Lonchura striata: one gene and its partner. The main gene of each other region encodes a partner of the protein of the gene in region 2 in a complex. Links are inferred from orthologs where the notes say so. Each region holds a gene or a part of one and is shown on either strand. Other genes may lie near its edges. The genes, in order: CD81 and adhesion G-protein coupled receptor G1.

The links.
Region 1: adhesion G-protein coupled receptor G1 (region 2) and CD81 share a complex: the UniProt entries of both Homo sapiens proteins name them as parts of the GPCR-tetraspanin complex. The link is inferred for Lonchura striata from reciprocal best matches to the Homo sapiens genes ADGRG1 and CD81.

Annotation. Positions count from the first base shown.
Region 1 is NC_134608.1:47,037,341-47,046,866, reverse strand, and holds the start of CD81 (CD81 antigen), read right to left. Parts: upstream 4,280-9,526; 5' UTR 4,206-4,279; coding exon 4,140-4,205; intron 1-4,139. UniProt on the Homo sapiens protein: Structural component of specialized membrane microdomains known as tetraspanin-enriched microdomains (TERMs), which act as platforms for receptor clustering and signaling.
Region 2 is NC_134615.1:17,338,434-17,347,914, forward strand, and holds the start of adhesion G-protein coupled receptor G1, read left to right. Parts: upstream 1-5,894; 5' UTR 5,895-6,019; intron 6,020-9,481. UniProt on the Homo sapiens protein: Adhesion G-protein coupled receptor (aGPCR) for steroid hormone 17alpha-hydroxypregnenolone (17-OH), which is involved in cell adhesion and cell-cell interactions.

The DNA of each region.
Region 1 (9,526 bases), on a different chromosome or scaffold from region 2:
GTACCCCCACAGGGCAGGGTGCACCCATCTCTTCAAAAAGCCTTCTGCACACAGAAACTTCAGAAGAGGTTTTGTAGGTGATGGGAGGGCTGTGCTCACTTGGCAGAGTGCCCTAAAACATCCCAGAGAGACATCAGCAACAAAATTTGAGCGTAGGTAACTGAGCCTGCTAAGGAAACTTAGATGCAGAGTCAAACACACAGAAACATGCTTGCCTGTACATTGTCCCAGGATGCCAAATAAAATCTGTGGAAGAAGATGCTGGGCCAGCATGAGGTCCTTGCTGCTCGCCAGGCTCTCTGCAATTCCCAGGGAAACCAGCAGCCCAACCAGCCAGGCACTGCCACCAGTGGCACGGGAGCAGTGCTTGGCCCACGCCTGCACCCACTACAAGATGCTTTGTTAGTCCACAGTTATTTCAAACCTGTGTTTCAAAGCTACAGGAACCATGAGATCTTCCACTCTTCATTTAAAGCTGTGAGCAGTGGTACACAGCCACCCTCCTCACCACAATGAGAGGGTCAGGTGCCACCCAGTGAAAGCGTTACCGTGGGACAACCACCACAGAGAGCTGCCACCTCCCATCACTAACACCAAGTATCTCTGTGCAGGCTTTGCAGACTCCAGGCTACAGCTAACAGATCTTCTGGGGTTGCACAAGAAAACACGCAGCTCCTCTGCCTCTTCCCTTTCAATCACCCCTGTCCAGACAGACTCTCACTTCCATCTTCCCTCTGTTCTTGCCCTTCCTTCCCTTTGCACCCAGGCTGTACAACACCCTCAACACACAGAAGAGTTAGGCAGTGCCTGGAAAATGGCATTAGGAGCAAGCTCTTCCTTTTAATTAGACACCTCTCTGCTAGGGCAGCCAGCAGTGCTCTTGACCTGGAACACTGCCATGGGCTGTATTAGCTAATAAGCTTGAGCAATCTTTCTCCAAGCAAGTCAATTCCTCCTTGGTTATGTTTAATTATATTTTAAAATAGTTCACTGGCTTCCTTCAGCCTCCCCAGGGACCCTTTGCAGCAGTGGTCAGTTCAGCCCCACACACTGAGGTCTGCTATAAGGTTTGGAAAATTCAGGAGAGCAGTCCTAAGTGGAGCCATCCCAGTTGTAGGGATGGGATGGAGAAGCAGCTCCACCTGCCAGATGGCCAGCCCTGCCTGGGCTGCCCATCACACCAGCCAAACTGCCCAGTAACAGCTACTGCTCCCTCTCACAGGGCAGGGTGTCCACTCAACACCAGCCACTCCAGTTTCAGAACAACTTGGCAGCATAGAAGAACTTTTGTCTTTTCAGCCCTATGTTTTGCTAACCAGGTGAAGCCCACAGGTGCTGACCATGGCCTCCTCCACCACTTCAGTAGGTGGGTGCCACTGTGAAACACCTGGGGACCCTCTCTCCTGGGACAAGCACTCATTTGTACACGTGGTCCATGCAGCAACCACTGCTCCCTTGAGAGCCACCCTTGGAGCAAGCACAATCTTGGCATCTTCTTCTCAAGAATGCATGCACAAAGGACAAGCAATCCCCCCCCCCCCCAAAAAAAAAAATCAAATAAAACAGAAACATCTCAGGTACAATGAACGAGGAGCTGGCAGCAGGGTCACCTTTTCCTTTTGCTTTTTCAACACAGAAGCTTTGTGAAATTTCCCCTGTGCTGTCAGGGGAAGGCAGGGGGAGGAAGCCAGAGGGGAGTCAGTTTATTTACACTCCAGCAGGATAGCGGGGCTACATAAAAAACTTATCAGAGTAACTAAGGCTGAGAATTGCTTCCTTCTTCCTCTTGGGCACTAGAACAAGCTCCTGTGCAGCTCAGCATGGTGCCTGCCAAACTTTGGGCTCTACCTCTGGCTTGTTTTCATCAACAGCACCCAGCAGCAGCTGCACACAAGGCAAATCATAAGCAAATAAGCACGGCGAGTCCATCAGCCCTTACATAATAACCAGCTGGCGGACTAAAGGGCTGCAGGTGCCCTGTCTCACACCTCCCTGTGGTTAGAGGTGGTTTCCCAACACAGCCAACCTGCAATGAGGGTGGTCACTACATTCAGTCCTTAAATGTCACCCTGCAAAAAGGACCGTCGTACTTTGCTGTTAAGCACAGAATCCCTCCCTAGTTGGGGGTTCCAGGATGGCAGCTAACCTACCTTTGTGGTAAACCCTCACTACTAGTTCAAAAAACAACACAAAAGGGCTTGAGAACCCCATGATCTGGTATTCAACCACCATTCAGCTGGCTAGCCTCACAGAAAGCACTGTTAATTCTAATCAAATCCAGGCTCCCAGTCTGCACAGGAGACAGTGCAAGCGGACCAGCAAGTCCAGCACTGGGAGCTGTTTTGGGGAGCCAGTGGGTCCCAGCTTACAGGTACCCCTCTTGGGAAGGAACTGAAGCATCTACCCCCACTCACAGGGAGCACCCGCCAAAAGGGTAGGGCAAGGCACCAGATGTCATAACAGGGAAATTATACAGATTGGCAATTTGGCAATTCCTCTTGGAAGCAAAATGCCCATTTATAAAAGATCAACTCTTTTACAGGACTTTGAAGTGAACAACTGATCCTGCTGAGAAGCGGTGGCTGTGCAAAGCCCCCAGCATCCTTCCTGCCACCCAGGAGACCCTTCCTCACAAGCATAGCCGGCTGTTTCTTTGACAAGAATGGCAGGAAATCAGGACCAGAAGGCAAGGAAAAAAACTGGGATAAGCACGGTAACTCGGAAGGAACAACACTTCACAGACAACCATACCCGCCTCCATCCGGCCATTTTAAGGGTGGAGGAAAAGGTTAAAAAAGAACAACCCGGAATTATCCCTCATTCATGCAGCTGGCAACACATCAGGTATCAATTAACACAGTTGATATCAGAGCTTGTCTTCTCCCCCTTGGCCAGTGTTATACCCAGACACAGGACGAACAGGCCTGAAGTGAACCTTGGTTAAGCCCTACACCTCCCAAGGATGGGGACCCCGCAAAGAGTTTCCCCAGGCATCCCCAGGGAGGAGTCAGCAGCCAGGTGCCAACTCCAGGTGCCAAAGCAGGGTTTGCTCTAGAAGCCATCGGTCCCTTTTGCACTTCTCCAACCCCCCTTGCTACATTCCCAGCTGTAAGCAAGCACTGAGGAAGAAAAAAAAATAATCCCAAATCCTCCACAAGAGAGCGGGATGTCAGACAAGGGGCACTGGACAAGGGGCATCCAAGCGGTGCCTTGCCTGCCAGGGTGGGGCTGAACTCACTTCCAAGACAAAAAAGCATTCCGTGGGATGGAAAGCAGAGTGTTTAAAACACGAAGCCAGCAGCCTGTTCGGGCATATCTGGCTGCCCCCGGGCGCAGGAGCAGGACACTCCTGCCAGCCAACCTCGCGCTGCCGGAGGCTGTTCTAACCGGGGCAAACCTGGCTCGCAGGGAAACCGGGATACGCCGCCTTTTGCTAAATTAGCCGCACGTCTGCATGGATTATTTCAAGCAAAACTTTCTCAGGAAAGGCAGCCTCTTCAGCCTGGACAGAATTTGCATCCTAAAATAACTTCCCGGGCGGCGGGGGCAGCGGTGCCGGCGCGGCCGGGTCCCGGCCCCGAATCCCCCGCATCTGCTGAGCGCCCCCTCCGCTGCGGCGGGCGGCTCGGCCGGCGCCTCCCTCCCTCCCCTCCCTCCGCCTGGCAGCATCCCTGCATCCTCCCTCCCTCCTTCCCTTCCCCGGCTGGGCAGCGCCGCTTTCCCCGCAGCAAGAGGGGCTGCGGGAGCGCCCCCCGGCTCTGCCCCCCGCCCCCAAAGGCGCCCATAAACATCTGTAGCGGCTGGACGCGAGCATCTTAAAGGTCTTCTGCAAGCTCAAACCATCCTACGATTCTACCTCCCCCTCTGCATATCTATTTAAAAACAGACATAAATAGATATGCATGTACAGTTACATATGCATGCATTAAAAGGAAGGATGATCAGCCCCTTCACCCTCCAAAAAAAATTTAAAAAAGGAAAAAAAAGCAGCCCCTAAGGCACATCCTAGACAGCAAGTCTCAATGCTGGGGGACAAGAAGGAGGCTAAAGCCAGGCGCAGGCAGACGAGCAGTATTGCAGCCCCCTTATTTAAAGGCTGGGAGGGCTCATCCCCCGCTTCCCGCCACCCCTGTGCTCACCCAGAAGATGAAGTTGAAGACGAAAAGGAGGTATTTGATACACTTGGTGCAACCTTCCACTCCCATGGCGACGGCTCTCCCAAGTCTGCGCTGCCTGGCTGAGCGAGGCGGCGGCGGGCGCAGAAATCCCGCCCCGCCCGCGCCCCGCCCCGGAATCGCCGCTGGGACACGCCCCAGGAACGGGGCTGGCACCGGCACCCCCTCGCCTTCCCGAAACTGGGGGTCGCCTGGTGTTTCCTCCTTTCTTACATCATTTCTTTCCTTTCCTTTTCTCCCTTTTCCTCCTCCACTTTTCCCAGTTTTTTTCCTAACTCTTCCATTTTGCTTTCCCCTATTTTTCTATTATCTGCCTTTTTTATTTTTCTTTTTTCTTCCTCTTTTGAATTTTCCCTCCCCTCCTTTCCCCCCTTATTTAATTTTTAGTCTTCCCTTCCCTTCCCTTCCCTTCCCTTCCCTTCCCTTCCCTTCCCTTCCCTTCCCTTCCCTTCCCTTCCCTTCCCTTCCCTTCCCTTCCCTTCCCTTCTTCTTTTTTCCCTTATTTCTTTCATCTTCAGTCCTTTTTTTCATCTCTTGCCCCCTCTTTTTCTTTTTCCCCCTTTTTTTATATCTGCTCTTATTTATTTCTTTGTTTTCCCCATCTTCTCACCCTCCAGGGGCAGCTCACAACAAAGTTTCCTACGCACAAGTAGGAGCCACGGGGGCAAGTGTTGGGGGGCTGTAGGAATGTTACCTCCCAAACCTGACCTCCATCCCTTAAAACTCACTGTCACCTCCTAAACATCACCAGGCAGCCTGGGGTGCAGGGAGAAACCTCTGGGAATAGGTTGCAGGAGGTTTTGCATTTCTATACAGAAAAGTTTGAGGGTGCATTCATGAGAGGATCCCCGCCTCCCCCTCCAAAAAAATAGAGCAAAGATCTTTTGTATTAAAACTATCAGTTTGAAATTCAGAGAAGCGTTTCCTTCTTTCCCCTTCTTATTTTAGCTCTAAATCTGCTCTGATGAACAGTTTTTGTCTAAGCTTCTGGCTTTGGTACTGCAAGCAATTGCATCAAGTTCAGTAGAACCACTTGGGATGTTTTCCTTTGGTTACTGGGTAACAAGAGCATCAGGGGGTGCTCAGAGCTGCCCACCAAAGAGAGTTCCCTCTTTTTTTTTAAATTTCTTTTTTCCTTTTAATTTCTTACTTTTCCCATTTCCTTTTATTCCTCTTTTTCCCAAAGAAAAGTAAAAAAAAAAAAAAAAAAAAAGGGTCACACATATCAACAGGCTTGGGAATTTTAGTTAACCTCTTCCCCTCTCAAAGCTACACAGTAGAAGAATGATGGAATTTCCCGTGCTTTCAGCTGAGGCCCACTTTGGCCCATCCTTAGAAATATAAATTGTTCTCACCCCGTGTTATGCTTCCAGGAAGCTCATTCACTTCTCCAGAGGCAGGGTGGTAAGTCACACAACCAGAGCATAGGAGGATGTCTGGAAAAAGCATCAGTGAGCAGCTCCAGCCAAGGTCAGCCCCTCACTGAGCTAAATATGAACCTGGCACCCGCCTGCAGAGTCAGATGGGGAAACCTGCCCTCCTCCTGCCTGGGCACTTCCCGCCAGTGAAGGATTTCAGGGAACAGCTTCTGAGCATTTGTACACTCTGATGGAGTCTTCCCAGCCATGCATCCCATAGTCAGGAATGAGCTGTTAGCCATCACACATTTCCTACACATGCATGTTGAAATCGAGTCAGCTTCTTCCAAAATCATCCCATTGCCCTCAGGGGTGACTTGGTCCAGGGCTTTGTCATGTTCATCAAAACTTTCTGTGTCCCTCAGTAACAGCCCATGCACTACATGGCAGCAGGGACCAGGAATGAATAGAAGTTGGCTCCATTCCCTAATTACTTATGCTGAGTATGTCCCTGATTGTGGGCTTGCCATGGATTCATAACCCCTTTGTCTCTAAGCCACATTCACTCATCCAGACTTACCAACAAAGCCGGGGGCTCACCAGGCTATTTATGCATGTAACTGCTGTCCCGAATTATCAGCATGACCCATCTGGTTACAGCCATAGCTGTAATCCTGTGTGGCTCCTGCTCATCAGTCCAAATGATAATGGCAGGATCCCAAAGCTGCTCACTTGCTCCATCACAGTGTCCCACAATATCTTCTTTTCTGCACCTCCATCCTTTACAGCTACAAATAGCAAAACAACCCCCCCCCCCCCCCAAACAAAAAAACAGAAAAGAGAAGAAAGAGAAAGAGAAAGAGAAAGAGAAAGAGAAAGAGAAAGAGAAAGAGAAAGAGAAAGAGAAAGAGAAAGAGAAAGAGAAAGAGAAAGAGAAAGAGAAAGAGAAAGAGAAAGAGAAAGAGAAAGAGGAAAGGAAAGGAAAGGAAAGGAAAGGAAAGGAAAGGAAAGGAAAGGAAAGGAAAGGAAAGGAAAGGAAAGGAAAGGAAAGGAAAGGAAAGGGAAAAGAACCCTAGAGGTCAATACCAGGAGTCTATATGAACCAAGAAGCCTCTCATGCACTTAGGCAGCTGCTCCTAAAAAAACTCTCAGAGATGCTGCTTGGAGAGTCTGGGAGTGGGAGAGGAAGGAACCAGTAGCAGTAAGGCCTTCAGCAGCAGCAGCCCCACCACCTATGAGGGAAAATGTCTATCAAATCTCTCAAATCATCTGTTGTGCACTGGAGAGCAGTGCAATCACTGCCACAATGTTGGCATTGAGACTGCTTCCAGGGAGCTTAAGATTGCTTTTTTTTTTGGTGTTGTTTTTATCCTGCTCACTGTGGCTTTTCTTTTCTTACTTTCTGCCCTGTTTTCCTCCTGTGTTGGGGAATGAAGGAAAATGGAAAATAAGAATTAATTTTTTTTGTATCCTCCTGAAACTGTATTAGGCAACAATTTGTTTTGGAGCCAACAGAGTTCTGTTTCTGGGACCTTCCTTAAGGAGCACATGTAGCTCAGGGACAGCTGTGGCCCTGGCAGGGGCAGCAGGGCCACAGTCCCACCATCTCCTTCAACAAGAAGCTCCCAGTTACAGCCTAAAGCCTACTGAGTTTAAACTTGCCATGCCAACAAAAGTTGGAAGTGGAAAAGTATTTCAAGGTTTGTCTTTTCTGTTGTTGTTATTTTAAGCAGCTCAGCTGGGTACATTTGAAAACTTTGGCCTTTAGGTACAGGAAGAAAAATGCAATCACCATAGCGTAGTGACAAGATAACAGACACCATTTCCCAGGACTGTGTGTGATTTCAGGTGTTGTACACTCATTTCTCATGTTTCATACTCATTTCTCACACTGCATTACTTGCTGTACAGCCTATAAAGTATCACAACTACCTTTCCAAGGCTCTCAGTGGCTTTACCAGCTCTTTATAAATAAGTAAAGCTAATTTGCAAAAATTCAGTTTGTGTCTGGGTGTCACATGCCAGTATTGAGTGTGAGTGCTATGAATAGGGCTGATGACTTCCCTCTTCAGGAGGAAAAGCTAGTTCAAGTGCTCAGAGGTTGAAGTCACAGAGCAGCCAGCTGCAGGCAGGGCTGTGAGAAAGCTACCTACCTCCCCCAAACCTTTCATCCCTGAAAGAAAAAAAAAAAACAACCCTCTAAAAATATTTTTTAAAAAATCCCCCAAACCCCGAATTAAAAAAATAAACCAAGCGTCTGTTTGAATGTGTGTCTGCAATTAGGTCTGCAGGCAGAATGAAGCAGCTGAGAGAGGAGGCACTTGCAGTGTTTTTTTCTGTCTGTTTGGCTTGGGTTGTTGGGGTTTTTTGTGAACCTGTTTATAAAAGCCAGTGTCATTCCTGGGGGTTTTGGCACCCCTGGGTATGACTCACCAGGGTCCGTTAGAGCAGATGCTGCCTCCCAGTCCGAGTTTAGGAGAACATCCCTTACCAGCGGGACTCGGCAAACCCAGCCCCTGGGGCTTTGAGCCTGATTACCCCTCAGAGATGCCCACCTGCCTTCCAGCAGCTTCCCCTTAAAACCCTTTTTGTTTTATAAAAAGTGAAGGGGGGATGGGGGAGAGGATAACACACATCGTCTCCTGCTCTCACACGGGCCTGAAGAGCTGAGGCAGGCTCTAAACACCTACTGACCGGTCTCCAGGACATCTGGGAGAGCAGATGGGAATCCCTTATCCACTGGGGTACTCTGGCTGCATGCTTTGGGCTTGCATGACAACCCCCCTGCCCTCCTCAGCCAGCTCAAAACTGACAGATAAACCATGGGGGGAAAAATGTCATTTTGCTGGTGAGGTCCTAGTTAGCTTTTAACCACCATTTCTTATTTTTATTGCAAAGTACTACAGAAATAGCCTGAATTTTCAATTTACCTCTGGTGGTAAAAAAAACAAAACCACCAAACAACAGCAGCATTACCAAAGATCTTTAAATAGGACATTTTGGAGATGCATGATAAGAAACTCAGAAATTTGTTCTGTGGGAGGTTAATAGTCCCAGAGCACTCAGGGGTAACTTCCTTGGCAGCCAACACCCCACAGTGTTGTTTTTCAAGGAAGAGACTTCAGCAAAGGCAAACTGAAGTGTATGTACTGGCCTATGGAGCTTAATCACCTCAGGAGAGACCTGTCTACACCCCTGGGGAACCAGCCAACACCTTCATTTTAAGTAGAAAAAACACTGTATGAGGGATCTAATCCCCAAGTCTAAGGGGACATTTTCAGAATACCTTTTCTGTGCTCCAGCAGGAGAGGATGGTGCCTGCTTATCCAAAATTCCCATGCCCATCCCTACAAGCTGAGTCAAAGCACTGTGACAGCGCAGGGGGTTGCACTTGCCTTGCAGCCTCAGGGGAGAGGGATGCAGCAAGCAGAGACCTGTAGCTGAGCCTGAACTTTCTGTTTCTAATAAACTGAACAAATGGTTCCCATCTGCCTGGCCTGTCTCTCTGCCATCTTTAAATATTTATATCAATGTATCTATGGTGATAGGTCAGGTTATATAAGGGGGGGGGGGGGAGGACAGCATCAGCTCATGCTGGAGCTCCAGCTGAGGGAGTGAATACCCAAGCAGGCTTCCTATCCAAGCAGACGCTCTCTCTTCTTAGCTCATGAGCCCAGAAAGTGAACATTCATTTTTCTCAGGGCATCAGAGAAGACTGAGTCACAGCTGGGCTGAGCTGTGCTTTGGGAGGTGCCAGAGCCCAGCCCATCACAGCAGAGAGCTCTTATTGTATAATTAATGTATAATTCATTAGTAGGTGAATAAAGACTGGAATAGTTTATTGCTGATGTAATAGGGCTAAAAAGAAACCAAGCACGTCCGTGAGCAAGCTGCTGCACACAGGGGTTAAACAATAGCACATAGTGATGCTGAGGGGAGACGGGGATTCTGTCTTGGGATAATATAAACAACCCAGCTAACTGATTGCCAGTG
Region 2 (9,481 bases):
AGCACAAAATGAAGCCTTTTGGGGCAAACCTAACCATTTTGGGTAAAAAAAAGACCTTTGTTCCCTCAGCTACGCCAGCTAACGTTGCTGGAGAGCTGTGCTGTGGTCACTGGGGATGTCATGGAGTATGCTGGCTCCATCCTGGCAATGGCATCAAACTGTGGTATCACAGGATTGGACTATCTTTAGTTTGAAGTCCCTGCTCCTTGCAGGAAAATCTGAAAGCAAACCATGTGACTAAGAACATTGTCCAGATGCTCCTTAACTCTGCCAGGCTTGATGCCATGACCTCTTCTGTAGGGAGCCTGTCCCTGTGACCACCTTCTTTGTGAAAAGCCTTTTCTGAATGTCCAAACTAAAATTCCCCTGAAGAAACTTATTCCATCTCTTGAGTCCTTTCACAGAGAGTGGAGATCAGCACCCTGTGCACCCCAGAATCCCTGGCACATCACGTTTCCCAGGCACGCTGGGCACAGCGCTGCCTGCAGACACAGCAAGGATGCCAGGCACAGCTTGCACTGCGGGCATCCCGGGCAGTCTGGGCACAGCCCTGGGGCTAAAAGCCGAATCTCTGGGCGGTGGGAGCTGCTGCTGGGGGGCTGTGTCTCCTGGGGACTGCGCCCTGCCCGTGGTCTCTCTGTTAGCGACCAGCACTGACCACTGCTTCTCTTCGGAAGCGCTTTCGGATTGCCCGTGTGGGTCTCCTCCGCTGCCGGGTGAGCTCTGGCCGGGGTCTGCTGCCGCTCGGACACCCCTCCGTGTGGTTGGGGCAGGTCCCACTAGATGGCACAAGGATCGCAGGAATGGTCCCAGATCGGGGCTATGAACGCGCAGGGACGGCCGGGGGCGATGCGGGACCGCGGCGGTGCCGGTGAGCGGTGCCCGTGTCCCCTGACAAACGGGAGGGGACCTCTGAGCCCCCTTGAGGAGCTGCCGCTGCGCATCTCTCAAGGCACGGACAAAAGCGGGAGATCTCCGGCTACATCCCCCAAATCCGTTTGGTGCCAGCACGGCTGCAGGGTGCCAGGAGTGGCTGTAAGGCTGTGGCATCCCAAAAACACCCGCACCCTGGGTTTTCACTCACGACAGCATCACACTAGAAGCCCTCCCTCTCGCCCCAAATCCAGCGCAGGGATGGAGCCCACCTGCACCCCTGGGGCGGCGGGAAAATGGGTGAGCACGGCTTTGTCTTGGTATCGGGCAGACGAGTTTGGGTGGAGGAGAGGATGGGAAGTGAGTAAGTGAACTGATACTCGGCTTTCCTCCCGCTCTCGCTGAGGAAGGCAGACTCCAAGCAAAACTCCTCAAGGTGACAAACACTTTTGGAGTTGAAGCAATCCAGCCTGAGGAAATAAATAGCCAGGACAAATTGTGGGAACTAAATCCATCAGGTGGGGACAGCGAGTCAGCCCTGAGCCCGTGGTGCATCCGCATAAACCAGACATCACCTGGAAATGTTACCGGGGTTTTTCCTCTCTTGATGCCCGAGGTTTTGGAGCTGGACATCTCACTCTGCCTGCTGGAATGCAGACCAGCATCGCAGCATGGCAAATCCGCCTGTGGTGACATCTGGGTCCAGATGTCCCCACATCTGTCCCCACGCTTGTACCTGCAGGGTGAGCCAGAGAGGTGCCATTAGCCGGTGCTGCCCGTTTCTGGCCCGGTGCAGGGGACCGAGCGCCACCGGACACACTGCCCATCTCTGCCCAGTGACCTTTCCCTTTCTGGCTCCTTCCCGCTTCTGGACAGCGAAGGAAGCCTCTGGCTGTTGTTCTTTGTTCCAGGCACAAAGGGCAGCCAGCGCCGCGCGTTCCCGTCAGGGCTGCCGGCATCCCGGACAAAGGCCCGTCCCGCCGGGGCTCTGTGTCCCCTCCCTGCAGCCCCCGGGCCCCGCGGTGCCCCGGTGTCACCGCGCGGGGATGAGCTGTGCATGGCTCACCGCTCCGGCGGTGATTTCAGCTATTCACTGAGAGGCCTGCGGGTTTGGTGGGATGCCAAGTGCCCGACTTTCCTCCATGAGCCCCGCCGTGGCAGAGTCACATCCCAGCACTTTGCGTGCCCTTTTCTCCCTGTGGGACTCAGATTCAGCCAAAGAGAGAAACGAGAGTTTCTAGCCAGGCAGAAGCAGAAGAGCTGGAGAAGAATGTAAATAATTCTTTATCTCTCTTGTTTTTCACATTGTTTATAGTTAAGTTCTATCACTGTGTGTCAAGCACTTTGCACCAATGCTGTGGGCTGTTTTCACTTCAGAACCAATGGAGTTGGTCCTCATGAAGCTCTGTATGAAAGAGCAGTGTATTTTGAATAAATCTGAGTTTTACTTTCAGCAGCCTTCTGGTCAGTCTTCTCATTCCCGTCCTGCCTCGACAGCGACATCTCCCCATCTGCAGATTTCGGGGTTTGTAGTGTGAGTCATGCTGGCTGCTGGTATCCGGTGGCGCTTGGAAAACAATCATCACTCGGTGGTTGCCTCCTGGCAGCGGGAACACAGCATCCCTGGGTGGTCCCCAGGGAGCTACACCTTTTGGGGACTGATGGGACATACTGGTTCTTGGGTAGCTGAGCCCACTGCTGGTGCCCAGGGGTCACCCTTTTCCCACCCTGCTGCACCAGGAGCAGGGTTGGAGCACTCCCCAGGCCCCCAAGGAGCACGGGTTGGGATTGAGCTTCCTACCCCGCCAGTGCCACGGTGCCAGGGCTGGCTCCATCCAGCACCTGGGCATGGGCGTGAGAGGGCCCAGGCCCTGTAATCTTCTCAAGGAGAAATGCTGCCATTTCTAGGCACCTTGCCTGGCAGGAGGCCAGGGCTGGGCTGCTGGAGGGGTTGTGCCATCTTTTCTCCCCAGGAGAGGAAGGTTGGTGGCACCACAGTGCCTTCAGGCTTCAGAGGCAGCCTTGGCTTCAGGATCAAAGCTGTGGAATTATAGCAAATGCTACAGATTTTGGGAAAACAAGCAGCCAGGAAAGACACTAAATCCACACAGGAAATGGAAGGTTTGGAGAAGACCTTGGCTCCATTTTGGGATCTGCCTTTGGGACTTGTCTGCTGGAGAGCTGATGAGCCTAGTTAGTGCATCCCATGGGAGCATCCTCACCTGGTGCAGACACCCGCAGGGACCAATTTTCCCCCAGACTTCCCTGACATCATCGGGGGTTTATTTGCAAAGCCGAGCCTAAACAAATAATCCGGGTTTGCTGCTGTGCCTACGGGTTCAGGTTTTACTGCCTTGGCACCTGTTGTGTCGCTGTTATCATTGAGGGAGAAATCCCGATGTGGGGAGCGGTGGACCCACCTCCCCACCGGATGTTTTTCCAGGAGGAAGGCTGAGGGAGGTGGGGCAGCAGCAAGGGAGAAGCAGGAGCACCCGCTGCTCCTCAAAGGTAGCTGAGAAACTCCCCTAGCATCACCACCCTCGAGGTTCCCAAGGCTGTCCTGGCATTGCTCACCACATTTGGATGAGAGATCTAGGGACATGCCCTCCCACCAGCCCCCTTCTGCTTCCTCCTCCTCCTCCTCCTCCATCCACCGCGGTTGGCCTGAGCCCTGTTTATGGTGGCATTTTGCTGGCAACACCCAAGAGGCTTTGAGTGGGTCTGGGCACCCTGGCACGGCTGGGCAGTGGGGCTGGCACAGCCCTCGGCTGCAGACGGCACCAGGGCTCCCCTGCCCACGCTTGTCTCCCTCGTTTGGCAGCAGCCCGGTGCGACGTGCCCTCTCCTGCCGGAGTCTGCCCATCCCCTCGATCTGCTGGCACGCTCCCTCCCGCCCGCCGCCGGAGCCTTGAGCAGCTTTCAGCAAGATTTAGGGCTTTTAGAGGATTTGGAAGTCTTCGGGTTCTTTTGGAGCTTTTAGAGCTTTTAATAAAATGAAAGGGTTTTGGGAGCTTCAGGGCTTGCTGGGAACTCTTGGGGATTTTAGGAACTTATAAGAGGTTTAGTAACTCTTAAGGCTTTTAGTAATTTTTAGGGCTTTTAGGAACTTAAAGGATATTCAGGAACTTTTAGGGCTTACGGAGTTTTAGGGCTTTTATGATGTTGTAGGGTTTTTGGGACATTTTAGGGCTTTAGGAGCTTTCAGGATCTTTTAGGACTTTCAGGAACTTTAAGCATATTTATGAGCTTTAATGGATTTAGGAGCTCTTAGGACTCTTAAAAAGTTGTAGGGCTTTCATAGGAATTCCCCAGTTCAAGCAATAAACACTTATCAGGCTGAGCCCAAGGGCAAATGTCCCTTCCAAGAGACAACACAAGGATTTCCTCCCTCTTCGCGCTCAGGCAGTGTCTTTGAAGGTCTGTCGATTTACAGATAATCCCGACAACACCAGCAACTGCAGGCGTTGACCTAAAAATAACTCCTGATAGCATGGAATGCAGACAAAAGACTCTTTGTTCCACGAACAGCAGCAAAAAGTCCTTTCCTCACTGGTCCGAGGGGTCTGCACCTAATTCCCCTCCCCAGGAGAGCCTAATCCTGGTTTTAGCCGAGTTATTCCCAGGAGGTGGATTTATGGCGTTTCCCCAGAGAGCCGGTCGGGATGACCCGCAGTGCGAGGCTTGGCTCACCGCGATGCTCCCGCGGCTCTGGCTGCTGGAGCGTGCGTTTCTGAGCTCGCCCAGCTCCCCGAGGCGTGGGGACGGCCGGACTTCAAAGGCAGCTCTGTTAGCCACGGTCCGGCCTTTTAGGCACGGTCCGGCCGCGTGAGCTGCTTCCCACGGGAGCCTCGTCCCGTGGCAGCCAGGGAAACTGGGCTTGGAGCTGGAAATTAAACCGAGCACTGTGGAAATTAAACCGAGCACTGGGGTGACGCAAACGTGCGGGATGTCCTCTGCTCCAGGGATCCCAAAGCAGCCATGGCACCTGCGGTGGCACAATTCTTGTGGATCAAGGTCCATCACCTTTCTGGCTGGGGCGGAAAGTTGTTTCCACCCTTCCCCCCCCTGCAGAAAGAAAAGTCTCATTCAAGCTATTGAAAATATCTGCAAGAACAACTATTTACTCAGGGCACTTCCCGGAGCTCTCCCCCCGGCCCTGCCCGCGTCTCGGCTTTCTCCAGCGCGGCTGTTTCCCGGGGCACACACAAAGGGCTGGGCTCAGGCGCTGCTGGCAGCGGCGATACCCGCTCCGCCAGCCCTGCCTCGACAATCGCAGCTCCCACCGGGGGCCAGCGTGCCCATCTCCAGCCTTGGGGTGGGTGGTGGGGCCGCTATGGTCACATCCAGGCTCTACACCCCACATCCCAGCCCACCTGCTCCAGGGGAGTGCCGTGTATCCCTCTCCTGGATCTGGGCTCCTTGCCCTGCTCCTTTCCTCCCTCACACCGTGCGGGGAGTGGGACAGGGGTCACCGGGACACTCCGTCCCGGCTGCTTTCCCATTAATTGTTATTTTTTAATCCCGTTGGCAGTCAGGCGTGCAGCCTGCTGGCTCCGGCTCCTCCGGCCCGGCCCGCCGCTGGACGCCCGCCAGCCCGCAGGGAAGGACGGCGGGACGCGGCACGCCCGGCTGTCCCCAGCCGAGTCCCGCAGCCCCCCGTGGTGCCCCCGGTGCTGCCGGCCCGGGGCTCGCCGGGCAGGTGCCGTGCCGTGGGACGGGGTGGGGCCGCTGGTCCCGGGATACCGCTCTGAGCCGAGCCGGGCTGCGAGGCGCCGAGCCGTGACGTGCCGTGCCGAGCCGAACCGAGCCGGGCCGAGCAGAACCGGGCAGGTGCCGTGAGCGGCGGCGCTGACCCCGCGGCTCCCGCAGAGATCGCGGGGGTCTCGGAGGGGTCGGTGCGGGGGGCTCGGTCCCGGTACCGCCCCGCTGAGTCACCGCCCGCCGGCGGGGCGGGGCGGGGCGCTGCTCCGGGCACCGCGCTGAGCGAGCGGGCTGCGAGGTGTGGTGCTGAGACGAGCCGTGCCGAGCCGTGCCGAGCCGTGCCGAGCCGTGCCAGCCCAGCCGAGCCGTGCCGAGCCGTGCCAGCCCTGCCGAGCGGAGCCAGGCGGAGCCGGGCGGTGCCGAGCCGAGCCCGCTCCGACTCCAGGTACGGGAACAACGGGGAGCGGGTGAGCCGGGACGAGGGAGGATCGGGGAGCCCGGTGTCCGCCGTGGGGCGTCGGTCCGGCACCGGGAGCCGAGGGGATGCTGCGGCACTCCGGGCGGGACAGGAGTGACAGGGTGGGCGTCAGGCGGGGCACCGGGCAGCGCCCCGGCTCGCTCGGGCAGGGAGCAGCCTGGAGGGATGGAGGGATGGAGCGGGGGGTCTCTATGGGGGGCTTGAGCAGCACCCCGGTCCCGGTGCGGGGGCTCCGCGGTGGGTGTGATGTGTCCGGCTGGGCACGGCCCTGGGATTCCGTTCGTGGCCATGGTGCCGGTTATCTGTGAAACCAGCCTTCATGCCTGCTCCATGGGACTCGCACTCGCCTGCCCCGGAGCCAGGCTGGATTCCTGGGCCGTGGAGCCACAAAGCCTCCCGAGCTGTCCCGGACCGGCTGCTCCGGGCTGCTGCCAGCAGCAGAGATGAGCTCCACGAAGCCCCGGCCGTCGGCCGGTGTGTGGCCATTGCTTGGCACTTTGTGGGAACCACCAGCACACCCCGTTCCTTCCTCTCCTCCTCGGCGGAGGGTGCAGCATCCCATGGGATCGCTGGCATGCCTCGACAGGGTGATCTCCCTTCCCTAAAATGCCTTTTGGGGGATTCCTCCTGCAACATCCCAGTTTGCTGCTGCCGGTCCTGGCATGTCGGTGCAGGATATGGGATGCAGGATGCTTGGGGTGCTCTCTACCCACTGTCTGTGCTGCCCCTCCAGAGAGACCAGTAAAACTCAGTGAGACCAGCAGGAGAATTGAAATGAAGTCTCCTGGAATAACCTCCTGGCAGCAAATCCGAATGGCTGTTGTGGAGGGAAGGCAGCCAAAGCTCATTTCATGGTCTGAGGGCTGCAGAAACCCTCCCACCCCCCCCCTCCCCCCAAGCTCCACCACCAGTGGGGAGCCAGGAGTGTTTCAGAGATGGGGGGGGGGGGGGGGGCAAAACCCAAATCCTTTGAGCCTGGAACTGCAGCCACAGTGGGGTTTGCCGTGTCCCTTGCTGGGTTCACAGCTCCCATGTGAATTAAGCCAAGGACTGAAAATGCTGCATACTTGGTTGCAGTCCAGCTCTTAATCCTGCGGCCTGGGGGCTGCTATTTGCAGAGTAACAGGTTTGCAAGCAACTGTGTGCTGCCTGAACGGGGGATCCCGGAGATAGGCCATGCCTGCACCTTGCAGTGGCACCCGAGGGTGCAGGGTCAGGGCTGTGTGGTTTACAGACTGCAGGCTGGGTGTCTCCCAGCGTGCCAATGTCTGCACGGGACCAGCTGGGCACAGCCTGCTGGCGCCTGTTTTTCAGGAGCTCTTGGACTCACCAACTCCTTTCCCATCAGCTCACCCGACAGCTGGGGTTTGGCAGGAATCTGGGAGGCCCACAGTCTGTTACCTGGCTCCTTGGGTGCTGCAGACTTTGCCCTCACTAGGCTCCAGCACCTTGTTTTCTGTGCCAAATACCTGGGAACCTGATTTGGGGTGGTCCTGAGCTACTTTGCACTGCTCTGCACCCCCCTTCCCTGGCACCTGCAGAACAGGCAGGTGATGAGGACCTTGCTCATGTCAATGGGGATAAGATCTGGGAGTGGACCGGGTGTTTTGGGAGCCACTTGAAAGCCAAAGGAGTGGTTTGGAAGGGGGATGTGCAGGAGGAGAAATAGGGTTGCTCTCAAAGAAGACTGCATGGTGGGAGTGTGTGGCAGGGACAACTGGCTGTATCCCTGTGGCCAGAGATGTCCTTGCACTGCATTGTCGCTGTGTCACGTCAGCCTCAGTCCAGTGTAGGTGCACCTGGTCCTTTGCAGAGTGAGTGTGGCTGCTGCTGAAGCCACAAGGCTTCGCATGCTGCCGAACCAGGTGTTGTGTTGCCCTGGCGCTGGAGGAAGTGCTGGGTTAGTTCACTGTAATACTTCTGTTTGTGGTGTTTTTTAGGAAATGGAAATTTAAAAAAAAGATTTGAATGTCAAGACCCAGCTCTAAGAAAAAGCTCTGTCTCAGGAGCCCCAGGCACTGGCAGGCGCCTGTGCCAGCCTCCCCTTGGTTCTCCCCAGGCCTTTGTGGGAAGGGACGGCTGCCAGTGGCTGGCAAAGAACAGACCTGGCAGGGATCTTTCCCGTGAGAATCACCATCAGATCTGGTTTCATCCTGTTGGCAAGACCCATCTTGAAGGTGCTGGGAGTTCTGTGCAGTGCCACGGCCTGGGAAAAGCTGCGGCACCCCATGGTACAGCTTGGCACTGCCAGGCTGCTGGCACAGTGCAGCTGCCCCTCGACTCCTTGGGCCTGAGCCAACGCGCCCGGTCAGCCCCGGCCGCCCCCCGGTGCCGGGAATCACATGCCAATGCCATGAATAACGCGTGGCTGGCCCTGCGGGCACGCACCACTGCCCAAGGACAAGGGCACTTTGTGAAGCTCTCAGATACTGACACTGGGGCATCCCTTTGCAGGGGCACCCCCATCCTTGGACAGTTCCAGACCCAGGGAACCTTGTTTTTGGTCCCTACGATGAGGGATTGGTTGTGCAAAGCTGTTTTGCATCTCCAGGAGCCCGTTCTGGCTTGCCTCTCTGTGCCAGCTTCCTCATTATGCTGCTGAGTCCCTGCCTGAGTAACCAACTGCGGTGATGAACTTGACTCATTCACATCTCGAGGAACAGAGCGTCACTTTCCTAACGGACCTGGAAGGAAAACAGATAAAAGCTCCTGGATCTCCCTGCTTCCGGTGTTTGTTTGAGTCATCAGAGCATCTTCCCTTCTCCTTGGGAAAAATGTCATATCCAAAAGCCACGTGCCACCTCTAAAAACTTAAATGTGTGCTGCCAAGTCACCCAGAAAGCAGTAAGGTGGAAGTAAACACCAGGCTTTTTGTTTGTGGGGTTTTTAGTCTTTTTTCCCCCCATTCACCTAAGGTTTAGAGGCCTCAATATAATGCTTTGGCTTTTCTTTCCAAGACCAGTATCTTAATGGTGATGGGAAGATAAGAATTAGTGCCCAGGAATAAGCCTCTCTGCTGATAAGGGAGCCTGCTCCAAGCTGTGCAGCCCTGGAAGAGTCTCTGCCACCTCTTTGTACATAATCTGGTTGATTTTGAGGCCAAGCCAGGAATTTTTCCCTGCTGCCATGTGGGTATGGGGAGATGACGAGGCAGGATTCAGCCCTGACGAGAACTCAGCCCATCCGGCTACCTTTGCTGTGCTCATTGCCAGCGTGGATGGAAGCTGTGTTTTCTCACTGTGAAACCATTTTCAGGGGATTTTCTCTTGCTATTGTTTAGCTCAGGAAATGGCAATCAGAGTTGGGGTGAGCGGGACTGTACAGGGCTCGGAGGGGAAATACCGGCTCCCCCACCCTCTTTCCCACAGGGATTTCTGGTCCCAGTTGAGTAATGGCTGAAAGGAGCTGATCCTCTCCTCCAACCATCCC